2 linked regions of the Stegostoma tigrinum genome follow. The protein of the gene in region 1 purifies or fractionates together with the protein of each later gene. This does not show direct contact. Links are inferred from orthologs where the notes say so. Each region holds a gene or a part of one and is shown on either strand. Other genes may lie near its edges. The genes, in order: lrig1 and receptor tyrosine-protein kinase erbB-4-like.

Region 1 (17,008 bases):
GGGTCTACTACCTCACTCAGCCCTGGAGGGGGAAGGCAATGGTAAATCACCACTAATTTAAAACTGTCAAGAAGAGTATTTAGGTTGAACTTCAGCAGACTATGAGCCAGTGAATGAACAAGTGCACAGCACATAACATGATATTGCTCCATTCAATTAGCTTAAATCCCAAGTTAAAACTAATTAGTAATTATAAATGTTGAATATGAAGTATTCAGTTCTAGTTTTAACACTCAATCCAAATGTGGGCATTTGGTGGCTCTCTGGTGAACTGGCAAGTGTGTTTGTGCAATTCTCCTCAACAGAAGTTCCAGGACTAGGCTTTTCTTTCAGGATATATGGGCAAAACAAATCCATGAATTATTCAAGAACAATATATGATACAAATGCAACATCTTATTCAATTTGTTAACGGCAGATAATGATTCAGGTCCTTTGTGGACTGGTAAATACATAAAATAACAGCATTTATTACATATTATATTATATTACACAGGTAGAAAAGCATGCTCGGTTTTACAATGCATATGTTACTCTGCACTTTTGTATTGCAATATTGCCAATTATTGTTCTCAGCGGTAAAACTGACTAGCTTTGGCAAAAATCACAATGGGAGAAATAGATTTGGAAGGCTCCTGGTTGTTTCTTTCCTTCCATTGTTTGATGTTAAACACGTAGTAAATACGCTTAGAGGCGTACGTATGAAAAGAAATCCCTTATTTTCCCGAATCATGTTTAATTATCCATTTATGGATCTCTCCTAGCTCATATAATCTCCAGAAGAAGGGAACTGATTGTGCGAGAGGAAAAGTCAGTGTGAAATATATCATTGGCCTCATATTGTCATTTAATAAGACGCTAAATCTTTAGTAAATATTTTACTCCAGCAAAATCTCTGCTCTACAAGTGCCAACATCATTTGCAGATATATAATAATAAATTACAAACAATGCTTAACCAACTACATACCTAGTTATATTTAAAAGGAGTCATTACATTCAATGGGAGGCTAGTCAATACATTAATAGGGGTATTTACTATGAACATATTTCTTATTTTGTGCAAAAACAGGCTTTGCTGAAAAAAGCTTAGCATGTTCGGCAGCATTTCTGAAGAAAAAATAGTTAACGTTTTAAGTCCACTAACCCTTCCTCAGAAAAGATTTAACACAATTATTATTCTGTGGATTGATCACAGAATTCATCTTTTCTTCAACTTCTTAGTTGCTCTGGAGATTCTTTGATTTTGCATGTCTTCTAACGTAACTTGAGTTAAATAACCAATTTTCATCTAAGTTATCCATGCCTATAGAATTTATCGCCTGCCTAATTTCTACGGGTTTAATCTTACATTTTTTGTTGGCTGAGTCCGAGTTGTGTTGAGGTTTTGGAAGGCTTTTTGCTGCGAGGTCAAATGAGTTCCCCTGTCGCATCTTACCAAATTTGCCAGGTTAACTCCTTACCATGTTACAACATCCACCATGTTCAATTCTAGTTCCACTTTACCACACACAACTCCCAGAAAACCTCGCCACTGAGACGTTTTTGGAATCAAGGAATCCTGGAATTCTGGAATCCATGGAAGCCCAGAATTCACTGGTATCACTTGCACCTATGCCGTTTGTGAAAGCAGTGTCCACCTGGGCAGCGCTGTCAATCTGGAGCTGCCCAGCACGGTACCCAATATTTCTCCTGAGCATGGAAGACAGGAGGAAATCATCACTAAGCTTCGCAGGCAGGAACCTGGACTGTCCTCCTAAGAGGATGGTGCAAAAGCAGGATTTGATCCTTGCTCAAGAGCAGCAGTGAAGGTCACCGCATCACTTTACACTAATTTCCAAACGGTGATATATCAGCAACAGGTAACACTATTAGCTCAATCCCAGTGTAACCATTGCATCTTGCAGGCAGCTACCGCTGTTTTTGGTTTCTAAATTGGTAGAACATCTCTGAATCTATCTTTGAATTTAGGATTTGTTATCACATGTCCTCTTAATGTAATAATGAAACAGGGTGTTTTTTTTTCCGCCGAATAAACAGACCAAAACAGAAATTTGATTTGACTCTCGACTCAGTGTTAAGTTAGCTGAACAGAACTGGAGATGTGCAGTGCTCCCACATATAGTAAGATATCTTCCACCAATCATGGTATAGTGATTCCTGCTGGATGTGTATGTTTGCGCATGCATGTATATCCCACCAAATCCATATCACATCATTGCAAATCCTCTTGGAGGCATGTGAAGAAAGTAGTACCAGTTAAAGTCACTATCTTTGTGAAGCGAGAGTATTAGAATAAAAATAGGAAAGAGGTAACTGCATTTTAAATACTTCATATTTTTATGACGTTCGCAAATAGGTGAACAGAGTTTTCAGCCTTCTAGAATCTGATCAACTTAACTAGTTGAGCTGGTTGCCTGCTAATTCCATTACTCTCTGATTTGCCTACTATGTGCTAATAGACAGTCTCCCACTGAGACACTACCTCCACGCCCCCCTCACCATCACACCCCTTTACACTACTTTCCAAACTGATATGTCAACAATACGTAATACCATTAACTCAGTCCCAGTGTAACATTAGTATCTTGCAGACAGCTACCACTGTTTATGGTCTCCAAAACAGTATAACATCTATGAATGAACTGTTGAAGTAAGGATTTGTTGTCACATGTCCTCATAATGTAATAATGAAAGAAGATTTTTCCCCAATAAACAGACCAACATGGAGGAGTAAACTCAACCTTTAAACCTTTAAAATGGGAACACATGTGAGTGCCTTTAAGACACCAATTTCAGCTTTGGATGTCCATTTGGAATGAATTATGTGTTATCAAAAATCCATTATACTACTAATACTGTAATGAGTTACACTGAGCTGTACAAAGAGAGTTAAATCTGGACCCACAATAGCCTAGAGTGCTGTAACCTAGCAGAATTCCCAGATTTAACAAATAAAGAAACCTTCTTTACTTTCAGCATCTTTAAAATTATACATTCTATTGTATTCCGTAGTACTTTGATAGCACAAAAACATGTTCTTACTTTTCAAGTAAAAGATTCTTGCAAATTATTCCTTAACCTGTTATATCTACTTATGGTAAAAATAATAACCTTTGAAAGTTACTGAATTATTTTCTTAACTTTGTTTAAGATACCGCTTCCTAAAATTTGCAAAGAATTGTTTCTGTTCTACTGAAGAGCCTTCAGTTGCTTGATGCTTTTCAAAAGAAGCACAGTTAGATTTTTAAAACAGCTTCAGGTCATGGTGTACAGAAAAAAAAAATCAATTCCTCATTGTAATGGTCTCAGAGGCCCTTATAATCCATCACACAGGGTTTAATTTTGACAAGTATTTTTCTGCTGTTGTACCTATTAAACTTTGTGTGGTTTTATGCAGATCGTGTCTCAACCATCCAATCTAAAGGTATTATATAACCACCACTACAATTTACACTTACTTATAATCTTATCTAAGATAACACAATATTTAAGTAACAAAATAAATTATTTTCAATAATTCTAGAGTCATTAACTTTTGAGATTTGATATTCAAAAATATCCAAGACCTCACAGTCATATGATAACCAATTTCAAGGATACAATCCATCTTAAATTGTTGATGCATACAGAACAGCCAGCATGCTTCAATGCATCAGTGTACTATCTTCATTTCTATATATATATATATTTATACACTAAGTCACATTCCATCCTGGCTTGGATTTACTTAAAAACAAAAACAGAAATTGCTGGAGAAACTCAGCAGGTCGAGCAGGATTTGTGGAGAGAAAGCAGTTTACTTTTTGAGTCCAGTGAGCCTTCAGAGCTGATAGTAGCTAATAAAATGCAATGTATACACTGAAGATGCTGGGGCAGGGGAACAGGGTCACAGAGCTGGGCATAAAGGAGTAAGTGCTAAGTGGACACAAAACCTACAGGCGCAGTTAGGCAGATACAGTGATAGATGATGGTAAGCCAAAGAAAGAAAAGCTGATAATGGGGACTGTAAGAGGGTGAAAACGGGTTGGCTTTGCTTAAAGCAGCCCATGTAGTGACAGGGCCCTCATTATGGGGGTGGATAGATGATACGAAAGAAGGCCCTAAAATGGTTGACCTCTATATTGAGTCCTGAAAACTGAAGGATCCCCAAGTGACAAAGGGATTGATATTGATTTCCATTCTTGACATTTTGCCAAAATCTTGGAATTGTGTGGTATAAATAATCATTACAAAGCAAACCCATCATTAACAGATCTGTAAGTCTGCAAATTGGCACTCTTTTCAATTTCTGACACTTGCCGCACTGTACTAATTCAAATATTTCCTTTCAGTCCAAGCCAGACCCACTTCTATCGCTGGAGAAATTCAGCAGGTTGGGCACCATCTGTGGAGACACCGCAGAACTGAGGAAGGGTCACTGAAGTTGAATTGATAACTCTGCTTTCTCTCAACAGATGCTGCCAGATCTGAGTTTCCCCAGTAATTTATGTTTTTGTTTTCAGAATCTGCACTTCTTTGTTCTGTTCTGCTTCTATTGCAGCTGCACAATATTCCAATGACAACCATAACAACTAAAGACTAACCTCACTACAGTAAACATAAATACATGTCATAAACAATTTAACATTTCTGAAAATTCACCTCCAAATGAAAGGGAGCACAAAAAACTTAAACAAACTGAAGTAATCTTTTGCATGAATTATAACCAAACAACAAATACTAGGAATTATAACAGCACAGAAATAAACTGTACTAAAGGTAAACATGTAAAAGTCATATTCCTCACACAAAGTTTTTGGTTAAAAGTAAGAGGTCAACTTTAAACTGAGTAGCATTTTGGTGAGGTTGAAATTCATCTTCTCTCATGACCTTCATACTACAAAGGTGCCAGACTACTACCGCGAACCCCATCCTCAAAAGTAGTTCAAAGTATTTTTAAGTTAGTGCTGTGGTAGCCTTGACATTACATGTTCATGTGCGCAGATGCAAGGGGCTGAACAGTCACTTTCAAGATACTCTATTATATGATTCTATCAAGTAAGCTTGCTCCAAGGTTAGCTTGATTTCAGTTGTAAGTGGGTGAGAAATGTAAAGAGGTTTGCAGTTTCCTTTTTAATTGCAAAAATATACCTTAATCATCAAAAAATCTCTATCTACATTCAGAGGTACTAAATCGGTTCTGTACAGTCTTTGCGTATCAAGAAAAACAAACATTGGAATTTGACATTTCCTGCAGTTGCAATAACAATGCTTTTCTTATTCATGAGATTATTTACATACATTGAGACATTGAGAGAGTCTGATAACTGAACAGATCCTCATTAAACTTTTCCAGAAATACCTTAAACGCTGGTCTTTCCCCACTGCAATCAGGTAACAGCTGCCCCAAACTTTAGAATGCCCTTGAGCAAATAGTCCCGGATCTTGGAATGCGCGAATCTGCAACGCTTGGTCAAGGTCAACTCTTTACACGAGAAGGCCAACAGATTTTGGGCAGACCATAAAGCGTCTTTCACTGAGTTGATGGTCTTCTGGGTGCAGTCGATGTTTGTCTCAGTGCGTGTCCCGGGGAACAGCCCACAGAGCACAGAGTCCTGCATCAAGGAGCTGATCTTGATGAATCTTGACAAAAATCATTGCATCTCCCTCTTTGCAGAGGCACCTTCAGAAGGAGATATGTGCTAATTTCTTCGCTAGCATAGCTGCTTTGACAGCACGCAGAAACTGCGAGTGCATGAAGGGCAGTGCCCTTCTCACTACCAGAAAAGTTACATCTTGATGCTCGTTACAAAGTTCTCACAATGAAGCATTCTGCCAAATGACTTTAACAGTCTGCTCAGGGAACCACGCGATAGGACCAACCTTCTCCTTTTCCCACAGGGTGTTAAGAATGTTATGAGCTGACTACTTCCTGATAGACTTGAAGTTAGAAGTGTTTTTCTTTTCAACTTTTTCCACAAAGGATGGATGATATGGAATGATCCACCTACTTGAAGCATTCCGCAGCCAGGCCCATCCTTTGAAACACCTCGGATATGTAGACCCTCAGTCGATAGTAACACTTGGTGTTTGCACAGGGTCTACGCACAGTTTGTTGCAGCCACACACAAACCTAGCCGTCAAGATGAGAGCAATTGTATGTATGTCCTTCCCCATAATTATCTAGACCTTTGTACATGGTGTCCCTGCAGACACAGTCCATCATTGACCTCCAGGTGAAGTGGAAGATGGCTTTGGTGACTGCAGTAGTGCAGGCTCAGGAAATGGGCCAGATCAAAACCACATGCAACAACATGGATAATACCTCATGTCTGATGACCAGACTTTTACCAGGAATAGAGAGGGACCAGTGCTCCTATTAGCCTAATTGCTGCCTCACTTTGACAATATGCTTCTTCTAAGATTTTGCACATGCCCCAGTCCATCTGAAACATTTACCCAGCACCTTCAAGTGATCTGTCCTGGCACTCTTCTTGCTAAATGTCAGGATCAACTCATAAGGTGAGACATATAAAGAATTGAATGATTTTCTCCCTCAGACGTCAGGGGTGGCTTTTGCATAGGATTGACCATTATTCAAATTTATTTTGTATGCTAACAGCTGAAATAATTACTAACCACCAATCAATTAGGAAAAGCTATAATTTAAAGTGTCACAAATGAAAGATTAGCAAATTTATTTTTAAATTAGATAAAAACTTAAGTTAGCATTTCCTGGTTATAATTATTTCATTTGCATTGTTTATGCATTGCTCTGTTATTTTTACCTTCCTGTAAAATGCTAAGATGACAATACACCAAGAAAAGTACAGAAGCAAGCAATTACTTAAATCATACAGATTCAGAGCCTATGTACACAAAAACACTGCCAAAGAGATTTAAAACGTACAAACATGTGGGAAAACATTTTAACTTTTCTTTCTTTTTACTATTTGTCCAATTTCCCACGTTGGGAAACAACAGCTTGCAACTATTTAGATATAAAATACTAATGTCAAGGTCCACCTATATATTGCATGTGAACATGTTAGATACCCTGCCCACTCAACTCTGCAAAGTCCTCCTCACTACTATTTGGGGACCTAGTTCAAAGTTTACAGAGAGTTCCCACAGATGAGTCAGACAACGGCCTGACATAAGCACAACACATATCTTTCATTCAAATACACAGGCTCCTGCATCACCATCAGGAGCTTTATTCAGTACCATCAAAAAGAGAAACCCATCAGGAGTGGCTGCACAGTTGAATAAAGTCAGAAGGGGAGGCCACAGGAATTTTCAACATTGACACCAGACAATATGAGGTATCATGGCATCAGGATAAACAAGGCAAGGAAACATCCTGTAGAGTATCATGACCTCCTTCCTTCAGACAATGAGTCATTACTCCTCCATATTAATATCATGGTCAGATAATGAACCGAGCCATGGCCAAATTCATCAAGACATGGTCTGCTTTCAGGTTTCTCTGCTTCCAGCACACCATCCAAGTCACATACCACTGTGACTTTGAAATATATTCCCATTTCCTTTTTATTGTTGGATGGAGATCCTCACCACAGGGCCACCAACCACTTAAGAGTCAAGCCCACCAACACCACCTTCTCAAGTGCACTTGAGAATAGTCAATAAATGTGGCCTGCTGCCACTTGATTAAAAAGAACATGCATAATGTATCATTGCATGAATAACATCAAACAAATATATTTTAAATATTTATTGCAATATACTATGAATCTACTCCTCACATTACCAAATTATAAATAATAATAACTATTCTTACAAAAAGTTGTCTAGTATTTATCATGAATGTAATGTGAACAACTACTTCATTAACAGAAACCACATATCGTGGAGTACCTTCATTGTTTAATGAATTATGAAGCCCAAAATTCTCACATATCACAATTACCACTGAAGGTAATGAAAGCCTTTTTCAATTACAAAATACAAAATTGAAATCCTCTCATGTTGAAAATATTTTGTGAACATTAATATGCAACATGTTTATCTGAAAATAATTTTAACGACAGTATTGCAATGAGCACAATGTTGGGCACTCACGTTGCAAATGAAGAGATTTCTATTTTACACTGACCTAACCTGCTGACGTAAAACTTCCTCAACCAGACCCTGGCGTGAAACAGAGGGAAAACTTCGGGAAAATCGTTTCGTTCGTTTTATGTGGGACACACGATGGAGTGTAAACCCAACTGGACTATTTTCTGATTGACAACTTTGTAAAATATCCAAGAGTCCAGTATATAGATTGTAAACTTAGCTGGCACCGTTTTAAGTTATTAGTGAGCCACAACTCCCATCCGTGTTTTTCAAATACATAAAATTTCAAAAGGTACAGAAAAAATGATCAGTGACACACGCAAACACACTCGCTCTCCTCAGTATAGCACAGCTGAACTTTCAGCCAGGTCGGAGTTGAGCAATGCAAATAGGCTCTGCTAGCTGGAACCCAATCAGTTTTACACCATTTGGGGCTGTGCTATAAATACATATTTAGATAGCCATCAAGTACTTCCGCATTTGACTGTAAGTCGTGAAATGTAAAGATAAGGTTTGAGTTAACAGACGTGTCTTTTACTCTCATACAAGGACTAACAATTCATTGTACGCTCTTTTTCGCAGCGAGTTTCCATAACCGAATCCATTATCAAAATATTTTGAAAATTCATCTATGCTGCGCGTGAAATACATGTATATATTACTAACAATGAAATTGAAATTCACTTGGTGACCAATAAAAGCTAGTTACTTTTGGATTGCGCTATCATTCGACCATTTAGTGTAATTTCGAAATGGAAAAGAGAGCGGGACGGAAGCAAAGAGATGTTAGATAATTTACTCTAAAAGGCGAAAGTCCATGTTGTGGATTTTTTTTTCACATTCCGGTCACAACTGAATTCTGGCCGGGCTTTAGAATGATTGCTAGTGCGTTTCCAATGAATAACGTGTCTTTTATTACTGTACAGTGCTTGTACTTCCGGCATTCGCCTCCCTTTTGGACCTTATATCGGTGTTTTAAGCGCTAAACTCCCTCTGTAAAACTTGTTCATCGATATCACTTATTTAATTTTTTTTTGACGATTACTGTAGCTTTCATTCGGTACGGTCACGAAACAAGTTAAATGACATATCATTTGCGGCTGTCACTCAGATCAACCCATGTCCACTCTCTGAAGACAACGATTCCGACAAGACCCCAATGAGAAAGTGATATGAGCAAATCAACTCAGTTTCGGGAAATTTACACATTCATTTCAAGTCGGCACATATAACAGCAGAAATTCTTACTCACATTCATATTATTGGACACGTTTTTAATGGAGAAAGATCAGTTATATTCCGCGTTTGTAACAATAAACAGATCGAACATGAGCCATAATAAAACACTGTATATACTTATGATCCTTTGTGTATCATTTAACCATCCGCTCTGACGGCTGTCAAACTGTTCCCAATTCATTGACGAGTGTAAATTAACTGATTCCCAGTCTAACTGGATGGATTTTGCTCATTTGTGTAGTACTTTAACAGCTACCACACAAATTCCATATATATTAATGAACGAATAATGTTGCAATTACAAATATAAATTGTTGCCGAAGGTTTAAAAAAAAGTACCATTTTGCTCAACAAAGTGCGGTTTCTAATATTTGCACTGACTACTCGTACTTAAATATGAGAAAATGTGCTGTTTATTTCTGTATCGCAAGGGTAGATTGCCAAAAGGAGCAAAGTTTTGAAAATAACAAACTCGTCAGTTAAAGGCGGCTCTCATCGAGTTTTATCTTTCGAAATTTTGCAGAATATTCAAATTATTCCTATCCTATAACTAACTGTCATTATTGCTTTAGCACAAGTATCTGGTAGGAGTTGCTATAACACCATCAGGATATAAACTATTTAACAATGTTATAAATTCACTTGCTTCTCTTGAGAAAGGACGGAAATTATTGTCTGCCCACCTTAACAGCGAGCTATGTCCTCCAAGACTGTGCAGTGTTTTCTTGAACATGACATGTACCTGTGGCCTTTGCTGAAGACACCGCCGAAACTTTGGCGCATTATAAACATCAAAAGTATCTAAAAGAAACTTTTCCACGTAGTTCAGCTGGTTGCTAAATTAACTGGTCGATTAAGCGCCGTGCTGTTTTCGAATTTCAGAATTTACATTTACTCCGCTTATGGAAGCTGTTTGCTTAGAACAGCCATAGCAGTCTATTTTCATATTCAGGTAGGTGTGTTTTTGTAACTCATGGACATATCATTTGGTTCTCAAAGTGTGAATAATGCGTTAGATGACAGCGTTAAAATCGCGCGCTCTCCCTCTCTGTCTGATGCGTGCAGTCAAGACAACAGGAGGCTCCCGCTGGGCACTGCCCTTTAAACGCAGTGAGGGGCTGGAAGAAATGCGAGACTTTTCACACCCGGGCCTGGGAGCAGGGTAGGGGGATGCGAGGGCGGGGAGGGACCCACCGGGACCCGCCCTCTTACGGCCAATTTCTGATTGATGTTCCTTAAAACCAATAGATGACGGATTGTCATGAATGTTTGTTCACATGATATGGAAGTTGGACCAATAGCACGGAAGGAGGGATGGAACGCCCCCGCTGCATCCAACGTGGGTCGCGGCTGGCAAGCGCGAGTGGCTTCACATTAACGGCTGTTCGCAAATGGTCAGCAGGGAAAATTAGTGCGGAGCAACTCTGTGAGGCTACGGCGGGGGAGTTCCCGCTGAACTCGGCTTTCTTTCGAAGTAGGGGAGCGAGCGAGTTACCTACCCTCACTCAGCCGATCGGTGTGTGGGCTGGAGCTCTTAGGTTGTGTTCGTGGAGCGGCGGTCACTCGGTGCGAGGCAAGATGGCGGCGCTGCTGCTGCCCCTGTTGCTGGCGTTGAGTACCCCTCGGCCGGCCGCGTGCACGGAATCGGAAACTGGAGGCGGCGGTCGTTCTGTCACCCCCGAGGCCTTGCAATGCATCCCGGGCTGTACGTGCAGCGGGGAGCAGCTGGATTGTAGCAAACAGGCCTGGACTCAGATTCCCCGCCAGCTGCCTTCTTGGGTCGTCTACCTGTAAGTACCCTCGAGGTGTTTTCATCATCTGCTAGGACCTGTCAGGATTGGGATGAGGAGTGCGCAATCCACCATTTACCGCCTAGTGTACATTGCACTGAAGCTGCAGACTTCACGGTCTTTACCGCAGCCTCAAATACACCGATCGTAGACATGAATAGTTGGCATTGTAGTTTTCAAAGAAATTCGAATATATGGTCACTTTCTTAACTTTCAAATGCCTGTACACTATAATTATTCTCAGAGGCGAGCTTTGCTTATTCCTTGATATACAGCGATGCATGTTCGTCAATGCAAGTTCAGGAATGTGGTATTTATTTGTGGTAACGTATCGGACCTCGCAGCGAGCATGGGTTGTGCTCACTTCTGAATTGTTGCACAATGGAAAAATAAGTAAGGGTTTGTTGACATTTGAATTTCTTTCATCCCGAATACAATCTACATATTTGTCTAGTCTAAAATCCTGATAGATTTGTTTATTTTGCATTCTTTCGCCTGCTGAAAGGGGTGCAACTTTAGTACAGCGATATCGTAGTCTTGCCAGTAGTTCTTCGCATTTTTGAGTTTCGAGTGTTGGGGTTCGTAACTGTTATGAAGCAAAATGTGAACGAAAAATTAGCTTTGGTAAGATGATGGGATAAAGGATCGTCAGTTTTCCTCAGCGTTTTGCGTCACTTGAGATTGAAATTGGTGACCGTGGAAAATTCCATAGTTGGTAGAAATTAAGAAAAATGGATTGGTTTAGTTATTTGAAACTTGTGGTTTCATTATCAAATCACTTAAACAGCGCGTTTTACAAGAATCGACCATTAAACAAAAGGAGACTGTATATATACGTGACACTTCGTTCAGGATATTAACCAAACTATTAACAAGCGAAGATAATTCTTGCAATTTACCTTCAATGTGATTTGTTGTGTGTTTTGTTAAACTTTGACTTTACTTATTGTAGCATCTTTTGCAACTTCTTCTTTCTTGGCTATTGCGGGGTGACGGGGCTAAATCTTTGGAGAGCTAATTCCATAACTAGGTAATTAGGCGGCTCACTTGTGTTCGCTGGCGATATAGCTTTTCCAGAGACTGCTCGGTTCATTGTCACTGCGACGTGGTTCTCATTCACTTGGCTGTTGCCCGGAGATGTTGATTGGCAACATGCCTGCGTCGAATTCAGTGCACATATGGTCCTAATGCTCGTTGCAGCTTTGCAAGTTGTGTTGTAGCTATGCCGGCATTTGATTTTTCTAATCTTGGTATAAACGCATTTAAAGTGGAAGTATATATCCGAGTGTTAACCTGCATGGTTTCTATCTTCGAGGAAACTTAGCCTCTTTTCGCGACTTTGTGGTTAGCTTAGTTCGTTTAGATTTTTCACTTTTGAATGCACTTTAACAATATTGTCTGGGCACTGCTAAGAGTTACTCCCTTCGACATTTATTTACAATACGGGGATTTTGAGACGATAAGAAACAAACTGTTTTTCCAAAATGAGTCTGGTGACAAATTATTTCAATTCTGAAATTATATAGTGCTTTTTGTTACCTTTGCTCAAAAAGGCAGAACTATTTGCCAACCCTTTTAAGATTTGCAAAACTTAAAAAAAACTCCTCTTAAAGGCTTAGCAAACTTGTTTATTAAAATAAACTGCCCAAAAATAAGGTAATAATAAGTTCCCCTTTATTCAATGTTATTGATCTCAACTGGGTGATATTGACCTCTGCTTGCTTTTGAGGAGGGTAGCATTGATCAGAATTCCCTCTTCTGATCATTGGTCAGTGACTCATAACGGAAGTATTAATGGACAGTGGATGTCTGCATAATTGGTTATGATGCATCCCACAGTCAAATAATGATTTGAGCCAACTGTCTAGTTTCTTCATCATTAATGAGATGAGAGTGTTGCTGGTTTTGCAGCATTTATTGCCCACCCCTAATTGCCCAGAGAGCATTTCTGAGTTAACGACATTGCTGTGGATCTGGAGTCACATGTAGGCCAGACCAGGTAAGGATAGCAGTTTCCTTCCCTAAAGGACATTAATGAACCAGATGGCTTTCTTCGATTGACAACGGATTCATAGTCATCATTAGACTCTTAATTCCATATATTTATATTGACTTCAAATTCCACCATCTGCTGTGGTGGGATTTGAACCTGAGTCCCCAGAATATTTTCTGTATCCCTGGATTAACAGTCCAGCAATAATACAGCTAGGCCATTGCATATAGTCAAATAACACAGAGACAAACCCTTTGGTCCAACTCATCTGTGCCGACCAGACATCCCAATCTGATCTAGGAGGTAGCAAGAACTGCATGTGCTGGATTCAGGGTCGATACAGTGTGGAGCAGGAGGAATACAGCAGTGTCCTGATGAAGGGTCTAGACCTGAAACATTGACTCTCCTGTTCCTCTGTCACTTGTTCCTCCAGCTCCACACTGTATCAACCCAATCTGACCAAGTCTCATTTGCCAGCATTTGGTCCATGTCCATCTCAACCCTTCCTATTCATATGTCTCTGTGTGAAAAAATGACCCCTTATGTCCGTTTTAAATCTTTCTCTCCTTGTACATTAAACCTACATCCTCTAGTTTTGGACTTTCTCTTTCCCACCCTCCTACCCACACGTGCGCACGCACACACCGCACCACACATGCTCCGCATGTGTACATACACACAGAAAATGGCTTTGGCGATTCACTGTATCCATGCCCTTCACGAATGTCTAAAGCCGTCCCAGGTCACCCCTTAGTCTCCGACTGTCCAAGGGAACAAAGCCCAGCCTGTTCAGCCTTACCCTATCTCTCGAAGCCTCCAGTCCCAGCAGTATCTTTGTAGATCTTTTCTACACTCTGTCAGTTTAACAACACCCTTTGTACAGAAGGGCAACCAGAACTGAACGCGGCCTCACCAATGATCTGTACAGCTGCAACAAGACGTCCCAGCTCCTTACTCAATGTTATGACCAATGAAGGCAAGCCAAACACCGCAGTCACCACCCTGCCTGCCTGTGACCCTACTTTCAAAGTCTAAATTGACATTTTACAGTGATCATTCAGTGATTTAGTTTTGTAGTTCATCCAAAGTCAATTTTTCCATTATAACAAAATGCGGAGCTGGATGAACACAGCAGGCCAAGCAGCATCTCAGGAGCACAAAAGCTGACATTTCAGGCCTAGACCCTTCATCAGAGAGCTCTCTGAAGGGTCTAGGCCCGAAACGTCAGCTTTTGTGCTCCTGAGATGCTGCTTGGCCTGTTGTGTTCATCCAGCTCCACACCTTGTCATCTTGGATTTTACAGCATCTGCAGTTCCCGTTATCACTGATTCAATTTTTCCATTAACAGCTTTGAGGAAATTTTGTATTACCTGTAGAATATATTCCAATAACCTTTCAAAATTAAGGACCAATGGTTTGAATTACACATGCAATTTCTCTACCACTTTCAGTTCTCTTAATTCCCACAGCCTGAGTTGAAAAAATATTTTTCTCTTCCCTATTCCCATATTGACAAAGAAAGTTTGTATTGCTTAAAGAAACATTTTTGCATGAATGGAAGTCACTGACGAAAATTGTTATTGTCATCTACTGTAGAATTCTGTTGAACTTTTAGTCAAATAAAATTTTGCACTGGTTTGAAGTAATGCAGGTTATGATCATGAGCTTCTGAATTTCTATTTCTCTCTTTAAAATTACATTGTGGTAAATGCAAATTGAGAAAGTGTAGAGAAGTCTTCCTTCCAAACGTGTTTTACAATCATTGTGTAAATGTACATTGAACAAGGAGTGATCTGCAGGGAAATGTTTGCAGGAAGGTTTGTGCCATAGTGATTCAATGTTATAAATTTACCGTTTTCAATAGCTGACAAACTACTAGCCTGGATATAAAAAAGCAAGTTGTAAACGTGCCATGTTGGTCCATGATGTTTGGATTAAAAAAGAAACCTTCTATCTTGGCAAGCAATCAAAAAATAGTAATTTTCCAAGTCTGATCAGAGGTTTTGGCTAAAGCTTTTTCAACCTGCATATATTCCTTTGCTAGAGAAAACTTTCACACCAGTTCAAAAGTACTTTAAACTTGAAAATATTATTAATTCATAGTTACACAGAAATTGAATCTTAGTATGTTTCTCCTTAATTGTATGAGGAAAAATGAGATTTCAACATCAAAAGTTTTGGTTTTTTCGCATAGACAGTATTACGAGTTAAGAAGTCACATGCCTGTACATTTGTTTAAATTTCCTTTAGAATTTTGCATACCTTTATGAAAGTAGGCTTATAGAAAGTTAATGTCTGACCTTGATTTTGGTGTATATTAACAACAGTCGAAGACTGTTTTAAAATCCTTAAATCCTAAAATTTGACAATTATGTTTTGCTTGAATTTTTTTTTGTGGATTTATTCTTTAGACTTGAAAGCTTCTAATGTCAAGTTCAAATTTACATCAGCCAAATGCTTTGAAATTTCAAAAGAATAACATTTAACATTACAAAAAAAATTCTAAATACTGCTTATTCTTCCAATTTGCGATTTATTGTTTGGTAACTTGTAACAGAATCAACATAGAACAAACAATAGTGCAAGTCATCTACATAGTGTACAGTACACTGAGTAGGTATGTTTTTTAAAAAAAAACTACAATTGATCAGATACATTTGGAAATCATTTCACTAGTATTTTTCTTGAAACCCATTCATTAATACAGGTTATTGTAATTTTTTTAAAAAAATAGTTTGAACTAGTTGAATGAGCTCCAGGAAGTACTGGGTGAAAGAAGTGTTGATGCTGAATTTAAGGGAAGCACCAATTGTGTGAATGTGTTTTGACAAGTAAATCTTGAGTGGTGTTTAAAATTACAGTACATTTTTGTTATATGCAATCGTTCTGGTACTAAGCTGGAGCTTTGTACCTTCATGGTGGAAAATCTCATTAAACTTCACATTTTTTCATTTATTCAATGTAATTATAATAAGTTCTGTTGCATAAGTGGTTCGCTTTCCCTTTACATTTCTGTTATCTCAAACAACAATGGATGTCTATAGGGATTTCCAGAAAGCATTTGAAAAAGTCTTTTACAGGTGATGAAAGTAAGCACATGAAATGTCTACTCTCTCCTTCTTATGCATGTCCTTGCGAGATAATCAAAAATTAGTGGTCACTTTTTTAAACAAAAAAAGTTGGGTAGCCTATTTAAGACAGATGAAGCAATTTTTTTTCTAAAAGCATCGCAAGTCTTTGGAACTTTATTGCTTAAAAGGTCATGGAAGCAGGTTATCTAAATATTTTTAAGGCAGTGATGGATTCTTGGTAAGTGATGAAGTGACTGATTATTAGGGGTAGGTGGAAATATGAATGAGGTTACAATGAAATCAGCCATGATCCTATTTAGTGGCAGAGTAGGCTCAAAAGGCCAAGTGGTTTACTTTTGCTCTTGGTGTCTTGCGCTCTCGGTCACTCACTCTGACGTTTGCTGTTGTTCTCTTGCTCCACTCCCTCTGCCATTCACTGTTGCGCTCTCTCTCTCTCCGCTCCCTCTGTCGTTTGCTCTCTTGCATTCGCTCTGTCTTTGTTCTGTTGCTCACTCGCTTGCTCTGTCACTTGCTTTCTCTCTCTCTCATTCTCGCTCTGAGTGTCTCATCCTCTTTATAATGTCGAACTGATAAGATAATTACTGATTACAAAATTGACAGTTGAAGTTCACTTTGGATGTGAGCAATCGGTAATTTCCATTGGAAGATTATAGGCCTTGGAAAAGGGAAATGTTTGGTACTCAATGCGCATGTTGCTAATAGCTAGTGTTGATGTTGAGGCTCATTAGATTACATTACAACTGTAACTTTAAAGTTAGAGTAAATGAAAGTGTTCTCGTGACATGTTCTGAAGTGTGCCTGACAAATCTCTGTCTGTAGTTTGATTAGGGT
Region 2 (16,963 bases), on another chromosome or scaffold:
AGTATCTGCGGATGAAGTTGGTAGGGTATCCATTGATAGCAAAGACCTTGTATAGCTGTTCTTTCCACTTCTTGCAAAGTTAAGGTGTGTTGCAGCCCATTTGAATAGTGTCCTGACACAGCTTTGTTTGTGGATATTGAGCTGATTGCTGTGGAAATTGAGAATTTGATCAGTGTGGGTTAACTTCCTGTATACTGTGGTTTGGAATTTCCTGTTCATCATTCATTCTCCCCTGTTGTCAGGGAACAGAAGTTGATTTCTTCTTCTCTTGTACATTTGATCCTGGTGAATACATTGCTAGTGAGGGTGGAGTGTCTCTTCTAACTTAGTGCGTTTAATGATGACAAATGTGTCATCCACGAATACCATCCACATTTAACTGGGACGACGTGACTATCCTAACTCAAGCCAACCACAGACATGCATGGGAATTCCTAGAGGCCTGGTTCTCCGACCATAATGTAATCAATAAACATGTGGAATTACATCCCAAATACAAACACTTACAAAAAAGTGAAATGACACAAAACACCTCAACAGACCAGATCACATAAATATCAAGTGGAGTAGAACAACATCGCTTCATCGGAGGCCGCATTGATGATGTTACTTAGCATGGTGACGAAACGTCTGAATTACAACCAGCCCATCTGCAACCCGAGCTACAAATCTTCACACGAACCCTGAGACACAGTAGATGAGGCAGAGTCTGTGAAGAGTGAAACATAGTGAGCATTTCAGCTTCGAAACGATTCCTCAGACAACAGTTTTAAGCTAATAACGGGGGAAGGAACAAAAGGTAAGGTCTGTGACAGGGCAGAATTCATGAGAATTAACAACAGAAGGGTTGGTAGTGTAAGGCTCAAGAGAGCGGTAATGGGACATGTTAAGAAGTAAGGGATACAGCCCAGAGGAGATGTGAATGCTGAAATGGCAAACAGCTTAAAGCGAAAAATGAAACAAAGCTAAGACAGCAAAATAAAGGCCTACAAATATAAAGAAAAGTCAAAGTGAAGGCAGAGATTACAGCTTGGAACTGCTGAACTCAATGGTGATAACCAAGGGCTGTAAACTACTGTGTTGAAAGATAGGATGTTGTTTTCTGAGCTGGCATTGAGCTTCACTGTAATGCAAGTAAAGAGTAAAGATGACAGAACGAGCAAGGTGGGGAATTAAAATGGTGGGAAGCTAGGGCTAAGCTTGAGGATTGAAGGGAGGTGTTCTGTAGAGCGCCTGGCTGGGCATGGTGTCCTTTCAGCCTGGCACAGCACCCTCCAAGCCTGGCATGACAGTGTCCCAGCCTGCCATGGTGGATCCCGGCCCAGCGGGGTGGTCTTTTGGCAACTCATGGCAACCTTTTGGACTGACATGACCTCAGCATGGAATTCCGTCCTGAAGCATCCTCCCAGCCTTGAGGTGAAGCCTGGCACAACCTGGAGTCATGGCCCAGCATGGACTGGAGGCGAGGTGCCAACATGGACTGGGTTCGAAGGACTATTATTCTGAACTTCTTATTTCTCTCTTTTCTCATTTATTCCTACAATCTGTAATGCTGGACATTGTATTTTCTTATCTTTAAAATTATTTTTCCTCAGAATTTGTAATGTAACACCCATACCTAGGTACCTTGTACCTAAGATGGCACCATGAGCGGCGAGTTGAAAACTCATCAGTGCACTCATTTCAGTACATGTGGCAATAAAGCCAATTCAATACAATTTCAATGTGTGGTTGGTCTCCCCAGTATACAGCAGGCAATTTGAAATTCAAAGAAGAAGATGGAGACTATGTTTCACATGGTGGAGTGTTTGGGACCTTGGGCGCTACAAGGAGAGCATGATATGTGTTGCATCTCCTGCATGGAAAGATGCCATGGGAAAGGTAGGGATTGTTGGGGATGATTGAAGAATGGACATGGATATCAAAGAGGCAAACGAAGCGGAAGGTTTTGGAGCTGAATCATTGAAATTGGGACAAACACAAACAAGGGCCCTGTCAACAAGGATGGGGAGGAATCCTTGTTTGAAAAGAAAGGTAACAACCATATAAACATCAGTATGGAAGACTTTATCACAAAATAAAACCAAAGGAAGTGGAGAAACTTGGAAATGAATAGAGTACTTACAGTAAAAGAGATGTGAGGGAGAGTGGACTTGTCTGTTTGAATGTTGCCATGGCAGATGCTATAATTTGAATTCAATAAAAATTTACAACTAAGAATCTAATGATGACCATGAAGCCATTGATGATTGTCAGAAAAGCCTATCTAGTTCACTAATGTTCTTTAAGGGAGGAACCCGTCATCTTTACCTGGTCTGACCTGTATGTGACTCAGACCCACGGCAATGTGACTGATTCTTAAGTGTTCTCTGGACAATTAGGGATGGGTATTAAATGCTGGCCTAGTCAGGGGGACCCATTTCTTGCAAATGATTGATCTTTTTTTAAAGTCAGCTATCATCATCTGACATGACACCCTCAGCCTCCAAAGGCACTGTTACTCAGAAATGTCAATTAAATTCAGGACAACAAAGTGTGGAGCTGGATGAACACAGCAGGCCAAGCAGCATCTTAGGAGCACAAAAGCTGACGTTTCGGGCCTAGACCCTTCATCAGAAATGGGGGAGGGGGAGAGGGTCCAAAATAAATAGGGAGAGAAGGGGAGGCAGACCGAAGTTGGATAGAGGAGAAGATAGGTGGAGAGGAGAGTTGGGGAAGTGGGGAGGGGATAGGTCAGTCCGGCGAGGACGGGCAGGTGAAAGGGGCAGGATGAGGTTAATAGATACGAAATGGAGGTGCGACTTGAGGTGGGAGGAGGGGATAGGTGAGAGGAAGAACAGATTAGGGAGGCGGGGACAAGCTGGGCTGGTTTTGGGATGCAGTGGGGGTGGGGGGATTTTGAAGTTTGTGAAATCCACATTGATACCATTGGGCTGCAGGGTTTCCAAGCGGAATATAGGTTGCTGTTCCTGCAACCTTCGGGTGGCATCATTATGGCACTGCAGGAGGCCCTTCAGCCTGAAGATCCTGTCTCATTGATATTGCCTGTTTTAAGCTGTACCTCTCTGCTGGGCTGCTTGTCTGATGCTGGCCTATGTCCTGTGCAGCTACCGGTCTGTGAGCCAGAAGGCCATGTTTTCATTGATCCAATCTACAACAGCATTCACAGCCACTCAGCCACTGAGCCTTCAAACAGTACCAAGTAACCTCTCAACAGAAATAACATGAGTGGGTAAGGAAGCAGTAATGAGTACTTATTGACATCTTTAGCTGAAACTGCCTCAATTGTTGCTCTGTATTGACCTCCATTTCATTCATAAGTTTCAGGAAGCCTGGGAAACCAGCAGGCTCACATGTCCAGAGATAACGGGAGCTGCAGATGCTGGAGAATCCAAGATAACAAAGTGTGGAGCTGGATGAACACAGCAGGCCAAGCAGCATCTCAGGAGCACAAAAGCTGACATTTCGGGCCTAGACTAGGCTCACATGCCCGATGTTAGGAATTAGAACTTGGGAATTGACAGTGCGTGTGCGCACACACGCACTCTCTCACACACACACACAGACACACACACTCCTTCATAGACACAAACACACACACTCTCTCCCTCTCTCTCACACACACACACACACACACACACACACAACTTTCACACGCACTCACACACACTCTCACTCTCTCACACACGGTCTCTCTCTCTCTCACACACACACACACACACACGCACGCACACACAGAAAACGTGAAAGTGACAGGTTGACAGCTTCCTGGCTTTTCCCATCCAATCTTCCATGTGAAAATCCAGTATATTCTCCAGTTTTGTCTTGATTCCCAAGTGTGTAGGGCCCAAAACCTTAGAATCCTCTTCCTGAGCATCTGCCTCTCGAACTCCCTCTCCTTCTTCCTTGTTACAAATAAACAAGTGATTTCATCAAGCTTTTGGTGCCCTGTATTTTTGTGTGGTTCAAAGCAAATGTCTTCAGCTAACAGTCCTGACAAGCACCTTGGTGCATTTGACTATTAGAGTCATACGACTTGGAAACAGACCCTCCAGTCCAACTATTCCATGTCGACCGTGTTCCCAAACTAAACTAGTCCCAGCTGACTGTGTTTGGCCAATATCCCTCTAAACTTTTCCTATTCATGTACTTTTCCAAATGTCTTTTAAATGTTGTACCTGTACCTGCATCCACCACTTTCTCTGTCAGTTCATTCCATACACTAATCACTCTCATGTCTAAAAAGGTTGCTCCTCATGTCGTTGTGATTCACACTGAAAATCAAACCCCACTCCTCCTGCAGTCATCACTAGAGTTAAAGATTTGAAAAGTAATATATAAATAATCCACATTACCTGATTTTTAGACACAGATTGACAGAAAGCACAGACCAGGTTCTGTACTATTCTTCGTAAGTGTCACTAATTATTACAGCTGATTAGATTCTAGCTATAGATAAGCAATTCAACTAAATTAAGAAAACTCTTCAAATTACAACTCAAAACCCCTTGTAAACTTTCTCTTACAAACACACAAATACAAGAGACAAAAATAAACAGGGTTAAGAGACACACGTGGATGGAGGGCAAATTTAGAAAACAGTTCCACAGTATAATTTCACAAGATCTCTTGGGTTGGTTCCTTCTGATCCAAAGATTTCTTCTTCCAAATGCCTTCACTGATTTGCAAGAGTCACAGGTTCACTTATGAAAGGTCTCTGACATGTCCAATTTGAAGTCCCAACTTGCAGCATTTGCTGAGGCTTTCATCAGGCTTAAAGTGGCTTACTGCAGAGAACTGAACGAGAGAGAGAGAGAGAGAGAGAGAGAGACTGCTTGGCTGCTGCAGACCTGCTGGCTTCTTTTATGATCTGACCTAGCACCTCCGTTGGCCTGTAGGTCAGCCTTGCCCATACTTATCGTGGAGACAGGATTCCTCACATCAATCCTACTGAATAGAATTCTAGAGTTAATTATACCCTCACTCTAGGTATAGTTACTGAGTATGTGCAAAAGGGGCAATGTCATTGTGAGGTCAGATCACATGGAACTGGTGCCTGGGTCTGCAGGACTGTAGCTGAGATGTCCAATCTTACCATTCTATGCATGCAATCAAAATGCACTTCATTCACAAGCCTTATCGATGACAATATTAATTAATTAATTGAGTTGTGCTGGGATAGATCCATACTAAAGTGGCCATACTGCGTGCGGTCACACAATGCGCTCTCTTTCTTCGAAATCGTGGATTTTGAAGCCAGGATCTCTCCAATTGGGCCCAACATTCAAAAGAGATTAACTGATAGACAAAGATAAGGATGAAGAATATGCCTGAAGGTATTGGGAGCAGTATTTAAGGATGCATCCAAATGGAAATTAGATTCTTATAAGTGCTACAAAGAGTTAATTTTACAGGCTGTGCAGTCCTCGAGAGAGGTCAGGAAAAGTGAACTCTTCTTTGTTAATTGTCCACAGATACTGCTAGAGCCGCTGAGCATTTGTAACATCTCCTGCTCAAAATGATGTCTGTCCGTGCTGGGAACAGTCAGTCTGCGATCAATAATGAGCATTGAATGCATGAGGGACTCAGCATTGGTTGCTTCGTCGTCAACAGGGTGTCTCTGGAATACTTGCTCCATTGTTCCCGTCGTGTTTCGCACTCAACGTCTCCGACATGAATGAACAGTTTGGTCATTGATTGCTCGCCCTGTCTTTCCCCGGCCCTCCTCCACCCAACACATTGTTCATTCACCAAACCCAGGTTCACTCAGTTCCGGAAACCGGCAACACTCAAAAGCTGTGGAAACCAATTTCAAAATCTGAGGAAATCGAAAATTATAAACATATTTTTCTGAAAAAAAACAGAGTGCCTCGGTAGCAAATGAAACTGACATTGTAGTTTAGCCTTCATTAGTATCAAAACAGGCGCGTCAAACATACAGCTGACCTGGAAAGATGTAACAAATACAACAAAGTTTATAGTTTTAAAGAATAGCACATAAACATTAAGGGGGCAAGAATCGAGCTTGGAAATATTTATGTTAGTGAACCTAAGCAAATCTTGGAAATTCAAAAAGTCCAGGAAATTGCAAAACAACAAACCTAATTATGAATTTGACACAAAGAGAACGTGAGGAAAAATGTCAAAATCAAATATTGACAGAGCCTGAAGAATCTTGAAAAATGGGGAAAAAGAGGTCAAATAAACTTAATCAAAATTAGGCCGCCCCAGCATTAAAAATTGGTCGATTTTTTTAAATTCAGAAGCCAAAATACAGCAGATCTCAATGCTCAGTCATGATAAGCTTGTACAAATCCACACTTACTGACATTATTGGTGATCGAAAATTTGGAAATCGTCGGAGAATTTATTGCCTTGGAGGCGAGCTATAATGCCACCTCGGAATAGCAGTTAACTGGAAAGCTAAACGCTGATAGTAAAAAGTAAATAAAGTAACCGGACGAAAACAAACATGGACAGAGCCCGAAATATTTTCAATTCAAAAATTAAATAACATTTGAGAAAACCTTTTTTGTAAATAGCGACGTCTTTCACCATGTATGCATCTAAAACAAAACTCTTGCCTCTAATGTTAATATTGTTCAAATAGAATCTGAACATTGCTTGTGCGTGAAACATGTAAAGGCACCGACTTTGACACAGAACAACCCTACTTCCAAATGCAAAACCTCCCAAGACGTTATTATATTTTCATTTGCCTCAGGTTTAAAATAGGAGATTTCATACGCATTTATTTTGCTAAATTCAAGGTCACGGGAAATGTTGCGAGAATCACAGAGAGAAAAAAACAAAAATAAACAATGCAAACGATTGCAAATATTTCTGGATAGATAAAATCGAGCAAAGTCCGGGAAGAAATTAAAACCGAGCCATCTTGGGAAATTAAAAGCTGAAGCGGTTTTCAGAAATCATAAAGGTGTCATTAAAACGAAGGGTTTTTTTAAATCAGCGATTTGAATACGATTTGCCTCAGATTCCCTCGTACCACTAGGGAGCGCTGACATATTGACAATATCCGTAAAGTAAAACTGCGATGCAGGGTACAAGATTCGAAGTCAAAAGAGCGAAGCATTTCTGTCGGTGGCACACTTGGAATGCAGCAGAAGTCTAATGGAGACGACACGCATTCTCCAAACTTGCAAAATTCCTCAGAAACGCCAACTCCTATACTGCTCACGGGCTGGGACACTTTTTTTTGAAAGAAAAAACCCAGTTGTGAATATTTACTGCTCTCAGTTTTTTCCTAAAACATCTGTTGTCACTTCTGATGGTTCGCATTGCCCTTAGCAAGCTTTGCATGTAAATATCGAAGTGACCGCAGGGGTCCTTTTTTTTAATGGTAACGGATAGTCGTTTAAAAAAAGACAGTCACTGATTTTGGTGAGGTAATGTCGCTCAGTTGTGTGTGATAACACTTCTGGGGAAGAGAGGAAAATACAAAACGTCTACTGTCACGAATTATCTTTACAAGCGTAGTTTTGGGTTTTTTAAAATTTCTTTTGGTTTCTAATTCGGTTCATCCTGCGATTTTCTCACTTTAGGGAGCAAACAATGAAATATTGAGCGTGCGTGTGTTGTAAAATCGTCTGCAGTTAAAAACATTCAGAAGATGGCAAGTCCACGATTGGGAGTGTTTATTGCACTGCGCCTTCTGGCACGTTGCGTCTGTTTACAAACGATCGCTTGCTTCCAAGCCTTGTGAGAAATTTGCCACAAGAAAAAGTGCGCGTCTGAAAAGTGTGCGAGCTGTCTCGCCAGACACTTTTGTTTTGTCACTTGGGTCAACCCTGAATCTTTCGGGTTCCACGCTGAAGTTCTTCTCCGGGGAAATGTTTAAAACGACAGTATATTAAATGCTGGGCTTTTGTTACGCGTTGAGAGACCGCATGCAGATCTAAAAGGCTACACTCTGGGTATGCACACATAGTAATGAACATAGCCATTGTATGCAGCAAGTCCGGGGAATGCATGGGAATGCGCCGTGTGGAATCAAATGCATAACATTCAGAATGGTAAATCAAATGGACGCTGGGGTTACCTGAATGATTTGTGCCTGGGATGTGAAAATACACGATTGTAAACTGCTCGGTTTGTGCAGCTGGCTAGGTTTGTAGGAATGCGAACGAAGATCGACACTTGTTACGCTTTTGGGCTCAGTCAACCCCATAATCCCAGATTAGAGTAGCATCCCAACCCACCACGACTACCCAACCCCCGCCCCCACCTCCACCACGACTTCTCTCCCCAGGGCACAGGTCCCCATATCTCCACAATGTACCAGGCAATTATCCCGAGAAGTGATCATCGCAAAACTATACCATGGTTAAAAAAACGGTCAGCACCTATACAATTCCGAGTCGGAAAGTAGCAGCGATGGCATGGTCACAAAGTTGTAACTACAAATCCCTGAATGCCCTGCCTGGAGAGGGTGGGGTGTTTTGGAGGGGCGGGAGGCGGGGAGGTGGTGGGGCGTGGCCGACTTTCCCTGACGGACGTGCGGAGGAGCCAATGGTTAGAGAGGTGGCAGGTGCCGGATTGGTGAAGTGGCCAATGAAGCTGATAGGGGGGCGGGGAGGGGCACCGGAGTGGAATTTGTTCATGGTTCTGTTGGGCGAGAGCGACCAATCCAGCAGTGCTGCACTGGGCACAGACAGAGAGAAAATGAGCAGCAAGCCTGGCACATAGACCGGTCAGAAGCACTGAACCCCCAGCGCGGAAACAGCGCTCTGAATTTAAAACATAACACCGAGACAACAGGAGGGAGCAACTTACAAACAAACCCAAAAAACCCCCCAGCAGCAACAGCAAAAAAAGTTAACCCTCACTTTCTGCGGATACAGTGGTAGTCATGTAATTTTTTTTGCTTTGAATGCACAGACTGTCTGACACAGCCGCTCCCGTACCAACACAGAGAGAGGGGCCAGAGAAAAAAATAACTGGGAGAAAATGAAGTTGGCCGCTCTTCTGTTTGTGAGTGTTTTCTGTGCAACGTTGAAGGTGCAGGAAGTAATTTCACAGTCAGGTAGGAGACACATTGTCCTTTCTTGCTTTTGTGTATATGTGCGTGTGTAAAGGGTTGGTAGTTGGTGGTTGTAGTGGGGGGGGGGGTGCGGTTTAGTGTCGGTTAGCGCCTTCCTCCTCTGCGTTGTCTGTCTGGCACGATTATTGACATGGCAAAGTTGGGTGTGAGGGAAAAGTTTCGTTGCGATTGCCCTAGCTCCTGTCTGAAATGGTTGTCTGTGCAGAGGCATTGTTTTTATTCTGGTGCCACACAAAATCACGCCCCGCGGTTACTAAGAGGCGTACAAGTGTAGCAACAATGTGAATTTACCTTCAGTGTTCCTCACGGGTTTTGCAACTTTTGAGTCATGTAACAGTATCTAATGTGGAGGCAACTGACAGTTCGTGTTATGTGGGGAGCGGGGCGCCTCATGTAGCCTTGAGAGTGTGGTATGAACGCCGGCTGTAATCCGCCGGGGAACTTTGCGGTATCTTGTGTCTAAGATTGTGGGGAGATACGAACCCGGGTTAACTCCAAACCAAAATGCCACGGAGCGTCGACTAAATTGCTTTGAGATTAAACAAATTAAAAGACAAAAAAAGAGACAGCCTGTCATTGCGTTGTTAGATACGCTTGAAGTTAGATGGGAGCGCAGTACTTTTAACGATGCGATGGGGGGGCCAAGTGAGTTGTCAGGGTGTTTTGAAGTCGGGTCCGGCTACATTTGGATGACCTGACCGGGGGAGATCTGTTACGATGAACGGGTGGCTGGACGGGCACCAAGCCGCCTTCGTGCCTTTTGGAGCTCGTTGAAACAGCGGCTTCGGTTGCATCGTGTTCACATTAAACGAGAGAAAAAAACAAGGGAGAACCTGAGAGTCGCTGTGCGCTTTTTCGACCCGCACGTAAGATCGGGCAGTCGTTACAAGCGGAGAGTTTTTGTGTATTGTTCATCCAGCCTCAGTGAATGAGATGGGAGTGGGCGCGCACATTACAACCAGAGGAGTTGGGGAGTACATCAGAGATCCCCAAGCCTGTTTTGTCCTCAGCCGGGAAAAGCTGCAAAGTTAGCCCCCATCTCTTTCAGCCTTTCTGTCTCAGCTGTTGTGCCTGATCCCAGTCAGGATGAAGAAAAGCCAACGCAATACAGTCCAGAGATGACAGTCTCTCTCTTTCTCAGACACACACACAGTACAAGACACAGTGCTGAACATCTCGTCTCCAGAAGAACACGCTGCCCACGGCTTACCCTTCCCCTCGCCTTGACCATTCTCGCCCAAACTGTGGCTGTCTTCCCTCTACTTCCTCCGCCCTCGCCCACGCCACCACCACCCCCCCCCCCCCCCACCCTCACCCCGGCACTGCCCAGTGCTTGACGTGAAAAATGATCTTCCCTTAGACTGGGTGAGGTGGTTTGGGTGGGTGAGGGGGCTGAGTGGAAGGGGACCTGTGTCAGACCTATCGTGCACAACAGAAGCTTCGTCGGTTTGCTTTACAAACAGCTTGAGCCGCCCCACCAGGCAGACAGCCATGGGCAAGTTACGGGTTTTGACGAGGGTGATTTGTTTGTTTATTTGAGTAAGCGTTCACTTGTCAACACCGGTCAATGTAGAACAAGTGCTGGGAGAGTGTCATCAGCCTCCTCCACCACCCCCGCCCCCATGCAGTCCCAAGTGATTGTCCACGCTTTGAGATCTTGATGGATGTTTCCAGGCGCTGAGAAAGCGGCTTTGCTCAGAGAGCATCAACTGGCGCATCTGACAGTCGCGGATGATAAAGGGGCACCGTCACTGAAACATTGGAAGCGCCTTCCAGGAGAGGAGCGATTCGTGATTTGATGGGTAGATCAGCGGGGACGAGAGGTAGATAAGAGGTTCCCCTGGCAGGTTTCAGGTGGGACTGTTGGCGGCTGGTAAACACCAGGGTCCCATGCTGGTTTCAACTCAGATGGGCCGTGGGATTTCTGCTCGCCAACTTCTCAAGAGTAACACACCCCCCCTCAACCCCTGCCCACCCAACCCTCCATCTCCCCCACAGGGACAGTCTGGACGGCAAGTCCTGCAGGAATAGTTTAGGACGCGGCCTTTTCTGGGGAATGGCTTGCTCCTTGAGACCGCACGCTCGGGATAGAGCCGCGGGGGTGTTGAGACGAGATGGGTTACGCCTTGCCAGGCTTGATGCGGGAGCAAGAAGGTCCCCTTTTAAAATGCAGATCGGGATTGAGCTGGGGCATCGGCTGGTAACGGGGCTTTCCCGTTGGGCCACCACGGCCTGGCGTGGCTTTTGCTCACGGAATCTGTGGTGGGATTGGACGGGGGGGGGGGGGGGTGAAACCCATCCCTGAATGGGGCAAACAGGAAGCTGAACTGGGCACTGGCCACAGTGAACAGTCTGTTCAATGAGTCAGTGCAGCCCAGCCTTTCGAACTGTCTGGCACAGGCTGTTTTTACTGCTTTCACTGTGCTGCACTGACATAACTTCATCTCCCCATCCTCTTGCCTGCACCTTTCATCTACTCTGCCCACCCCCACCTTTTGATGTGGCCACCAGTCTCCAGATAAACCACCTTCCTCTCCCCTCACCACTTCCCACCACCCCCCACCCCCGCCCCAGCTACTCCCGCGGGAGAGGTGATATTGAGGAACCTGTGTGTCCAATTCTTCCTGGCCAGCACTGCTGCCTCACAGCGCCAAAGACCCGGGTTCGATTCCACCCCCAGGCGACTGCCTGTGTGGAGTTTGCACACTCTCCCCGTGTCTGCATGGGTTTCCTCCGGGGGCTCCCAACGTCCCACAGATGTGCAGGTTAGGTGGGTTGGCCATGCTAAATTGCCCATTGTGTTCAGGGATGTGCAGGCTAGGTGGGATAAACTATGGTTGTAGGGGTAGGGTTGGGTCTGGGTGGGATCCTGTTTGGAGGGTCTGCGTGGAGTTGATGGACCGAATAGCCTGCGTCCACAATGGAGGGATTCCTGAATGTATATCCGCTAGGCCTGGCCGCAGAGTACGGCTAGATCGAACTAGGCAAGTCAGAGAATCTTCCTAATTCACACACACACCTCCACCGCCAGCAACCTGAACACAGAAGCGCAGTTGCCACTCTGCTCCTATCTTTGTAATTCACCCAAGCCCTCCACCCCATCGCTCAGCCCACCATCCTAACTCTGGACTGGGCTCTCCTCCTGCCCGTGTCCCTGTCTGGGTTATACAGCTTGCACTATTCGTCCAGGACTGCACTTCTGCATGTTTTACTCCCGAGCCGGATTTCTTGGTGACTTTGTCTGGCCTCACAGCAAGAGGCTTTACTCTCCCTGTAACATCTGTGACATCATTATCGTCTGATCTTCCCTGCATCGTCTCTAGTGCTTCCAGGCTCTCTAACGCTTCCCTGTTGCCTCCTCTTGCAATGCTGGAGACTGACAAGTTGATTAAAAAGCAGTTTTTTTAGGCTTTAACATGGTTTTATATATTTGTTATTGCAAAATCGAGAGGCAGCGGTAAAGTGCCTGCCACGGAGACACGGTGCAGTCTTACAGAGCAGGCAAAGCGTGCGTAGATATTCCTAGCTCTCATTCGCTCACCCAGATATTCAAAGTGCAAATCGCTGTCAAAGAGATGGTGCACAGCACTGACAGAGTTGGGAACTGCACTCAATAGAGATGGCGTCCCTGCCCAAGAGGCGTGTGTCACTTTAAAGTAGGTTTCTCCACGATATACATATATCAGGGGAATTCAAATCAATTTGAACTGAAGATTATGCATTCACTCGCATGCTAAAAAAAATCCTCCTGACAAACATTTGAAATATGGAATTTAAACCGTGTAAAAAGAGAGGAAATGCTTTGACATTTTGTTCCAACTGATTGTCTTTGTTCAATAAATTACAGATAAAGACAGGGAGGGAATCCCAATCGCGTAGTGAAGGAACTGACTTCTCTCCCTCTCTCTCAACGTTTCCACAATTCAGAAAGGTCAATGGATGTGATATCATTGCAGACCTCGAGCCTTTCAAGGCCGCTGAAAGTTTTAATTGCTTCGCTTCTTTTTTTTAAAAAACGAGCTGCCACGGACTGGATGTGAAATTGATAAATCTTTGAATAGCGATTCATATCAGCTCCGTCCGGCTCGTCTCGCGAAACCTGACAGCGAGAGGAAGAAAGAGAGAGTGGCTTGCAAAATGTTGAACTCACTGAGATTATGACAGTCAGTAAAAGTTCAGTAATCTGGACTGGAGAATCGGAATCAGAGCCCGTTACAAAGAGCGGAGTTTAGCAGCGCGAGGACTGTGTGTGGACGTTGTTCAGCTCCCAGGAGCTCACTCTCTACATCACCTGTTTATCCCAGACAGCTTTGATCAACATTTGACTGTAATTGTTCGTACATAAGGTGTCTGTGAATGAAGAGGGCAAACTCAGTAGGTCTCAAAGATCTCTGAGACAGTAGGATTTCTGAAGAAGGGTCTAGGCTCGAAATGCCAGTCTTCCTGCTCCCTCTGATGCTGCTTGGCCTGCTGTGTTCATTCAGCCCTAAACCTGGTAGTCTCAAAGACCTGCTGAGCTTTCCCTTATGTTAAGATAATAGACTCAAAATTGAAATTTACAGCAGGCTGAATGGCCTGGAGAGAGCGGATGTTTGGAAGATGTTTCCATTGGTAGGAGAGACTAGAACCCGAGGGCACAGCCTTAGAGCAAAGGGAAGGCCTTTTAAAACGGAGATGAGGTAAAACTTTTTCAGCCAGAGAGTGGTGTATCTATGGAATTCATTGCCACGGAAGGCTGTGGAGGCCACGTCGAGTACATTTAAGACGGAGATAGGCAGGTTCTTGATTGTCAAGGGAATCAAAGATTACGGGGAGAAAGCGGGAGAATGAGGTTGAGAAACTTATCACCCATGACTGAATGGTGGAACAGGCTCGATGGGTTGAATGGCCTAATTTCTACTTCTATGTTTTAGAACATAGAACAGTACAGCACAGAACAGGCCCTTCAGCCCACGATGTTGTGCCGACCATTGATCCTCATGTATGCACCCTCAAATTTCTGTGACCATATGCATGTCCAGCAGTCTCTTAAATGTCCCCAATGACCTTGCTTCCACAACTGCTGCTGGCAACGCATTCCATGCTCTCAACTCTCTGTGTAAAGAACCCGCCTCTGACATCCTTTCTATACTTTCCTCCAACCAGCTTAAAACTATGACCCCTCGTGTTAGCCTTTTCTGCCCTGGGAAATAGTCTCTGGCTATCAACTCCTTCTATGCCTCTCATTATCTTGTATACCTCAATTAAGTCCCCTCTCCTCCTCCTTTTCTCCAATGAAAAGAGTCCGAGCTCAGTCAACCTCTCTTCATAAAATAAGCCCTCCAGTCCAGGCAGCATCCTGGTAAACCTCCTCTGAACCCTCTCCAAAGCATCCACATCTTTCCTATAATAGGGCGACCAGAACTGGACGCAGTATTCCAAGTGCGGTCTAACCAAAGTTTTATAGAGCTGCAACAAGATCTCACGACTCTTAAACTCATCCCCCTGTTAATGAAAGCCAAAACACCATATGCCTTCTTAACAACCCTGTCCACTTGGGTTTTATGGCCTCACTCAATTTTTCTTTCACCTCCTGAAGGAGTGTGCATTCGTATCAAATGGGTCAAAGGTGATTTATAGCGGAACTACGCTGTGAGCGAATGGCTTTCTAAATAGGTCATTTCACTGGGAATTAAAATCTAAGCTATTGGCTATGGAATGACGCATCGGGGGCTATCGGCCCATTGTGGGCTACGCTGTCTCTCGGAAAGAGCTGTGGCCCACTGTTCCTTTCTAAAGACAGACCCATCCCCTCCCACCGCCCACCTAAACCTCCAGTCACTGGCTTGTCGTCCCGCCACAGAGCAGACGTTCAAGAATTCATTACAAAACTCCCCACCGCTCCTTCCTCGCAGTTAGTTCCCTAATGAGTCACTTCGTGACTGACCCTCAGCATTTCATTCATTGTGAGTAACTCGGCTAACTTACTCCCTTAACGCTCCTTCTCTCCCCCTCTCCCGACCGGAGTGTGTGTTTATTTTCAAATGCCCGGAAATTATTGGGTAACCCAAAGCGGGTGAAGTCGAATTGTTTGTGAACTGGGTGAGCTGTCAGGAATGGGCAGTTGTAATGGGTGAGGCAGGGTGCTCGCTTATCCTGTGTTTCTCACAGTAATAACTCTTCCCCCTACCCCCAACCCGCCAGAGTTGCAAACGAACGCAAGTCATTTTACCCAGGAGGGAAGTCAACTAACCCTGGCTAACCACACACCCCTATCCCGGCTGCCTGCCTTCTATACGGCGGGTTGAGGGTCTGATGGTGGAATTCCGCATTCCTGAAATCGAACTGCTCCCAGGGATTTCAAACAGAACTTCAAACGGGACTTACTCCGCGAATCTGCCGGGTTTTGTTTTAAAAGCTAATTAGGAATCAACGCGAATTCTAACAAATGCTCCTTCATTGCGCTCTCCAACGCCCCGTGAGCTTCACGGAGACAGCCGAACTCATCACAGTAAAGGTTGCAAACTCTCAGGACGATGTGCTTGTGATGGAAGCTTAGGTATTGGGTTTGAGTGTGTGGATGGGAGAGATCATGGGGGAGGGGGGGATCTCTGGGACCATTTTCTTCACAACATGCTGTCGGTAATGGGGAGAGACGGTTTTGAACTCTCGCCCACCTCCTGGGGCAGCCGGGACCGATCCTGTTAACCTGGAGCAGGGCTTTCCAGTCGCCCGAGGCACCCAAATGTCCCGCGAGACTCCACACAAAAATCGGCAAAACTTTTTTTTCTCTCTGCCCGTGCATTGTCGGGAGAGGAAGAAGCCTTTTTTTATATATTATTCGCTTCCCACAGGGTCAGAAAAGATTTGTGTATCTGTGACGAGCAACACTGACCCGAGAAGGAAGGCAGGTTCCTAGTTTTTGCCAGTCTGAGTGTTAGCTAACCGGTAAACTGCAGCTCACACAGCAGGCAATATTGCAGAGTTGCCTTTCAATGGGAATGTAGTGGGCAGGGGGAGGGGGTCTTGCAGGTGACGAAGAAAAATTAAACCCCTTCAGGACAACCGAAACGACTTTAAATCTCCCATTTTGCAGCACCTCCGTAAACATCAAGATTAAACTTTAATTCAAAATAATGGACCGGACCTATCATCGAGACACATTCTAAAATCGGCATTCTATTGAGCCTGGCCGTGACTTGTACTGATAACAACACTCGTACGGAGAATGATCTCAGTTGCTGTTGCAAAAGTGTACGCAGCTGATTATTATTGTGCCGTTTTATCGACCAAAGTAAATTTTGTTTATGGCATCAGTGTTAGCAAACAGTTAACTCAAGTTAACCAAGGACTGAAGCGAGAGAATTCTCACCCGCGCGTGTTTGCCAGTTGCTTTAATATGTTCACTTCTGGATATGATTCGATGCGAGAGTACCGGGCGTTGGATTTGAGCTAACTGATCTTTTAAGTTTGGATGAATTAAGGTGGTAATATTTAGGAATTTTCCCGAGCCGGTGAGGGATGCCGAAACGGGAATCCTGCATTTTCGATTTTGAGGTACAAATCAAGACTCCCCATGTTACACATACAACCACAAAAGAAGTGTTTATAACCGAGGAAGATTATTCATGCTCCTGGAGCACAACATTTTGCTGACAGCAAGAACAGAAACACATCTTTGTTCACGGGGCGAGGGTTGGGGGGGAGGCGGGTGGAGATCTGAACAGCAGTTTAGAATTGAGTGTGTATTCACACAGCCCCTTGTCAGCTTGTCGCGATTTTGAGTGAGAATGAGATTTGCAATGTAGCAGTGTCTTGTCCGTGAGCAGAACGGGCTGGGACCTCTAATCACACAACCTGTACTGTAACCATCTGGCAGCTCTGCTGTCTTTCTGAAATAAACGCCCTTTTCTTTTAAAAACA

The links.
Region 2: the proteins of lrig1 (region 1) and receptor tyrosine-protein kinase erbB-4-like purify together in Homo sapiens (affinity purification with western blotting; 3 studies listed by BioGRID and IntAct, with this or other methods). This does not show direct contact. The link is inferred for Stegostoma tigrinum from reciprocal best matches to the Homo sapiens genes LRIG1 and ERBB4.

The regions. Positions count from the first base shown.
Region 1 is NC_081364.1:45,971,628-45,988,635, forward strand, and holds the start of lrig1 (leucine-rich repeats and immunoglobulin-like domains protein 1), read left to right. Parts: upstream 1-10,623; 5' UTR 10,624-10,880; coding exon 10,881-11,092; intron 11,093-17,008. UniProt on the Homo sapiens protein: Acts as a feedback negative regulator of signaling by receptor tyrosine kinases, through a mechanism that involves enhancement of receptor ubiquitination and accelerated intracellular degradation.
Region 2 is NC_081360.1:9,775,979-9,792,941, reverse strand, and holds the start of receptor tyrosine-protein kinase erbB-4-like, read left to right. Parts: upstream 1-8,659; 5' UTR 8,660-8,967; coding exon 8,968-9,043; intron 9,044-16,963. UniProt on the Homo sapiens protein: Tyrosine-protein kinase that plays an essential role as cell surface receptor for neuregulins and EGF family members and regulates development of the heart, the central nervous system and the mammary gland, gene transcription, cell proliferation, differentiation, migration and apoptosis.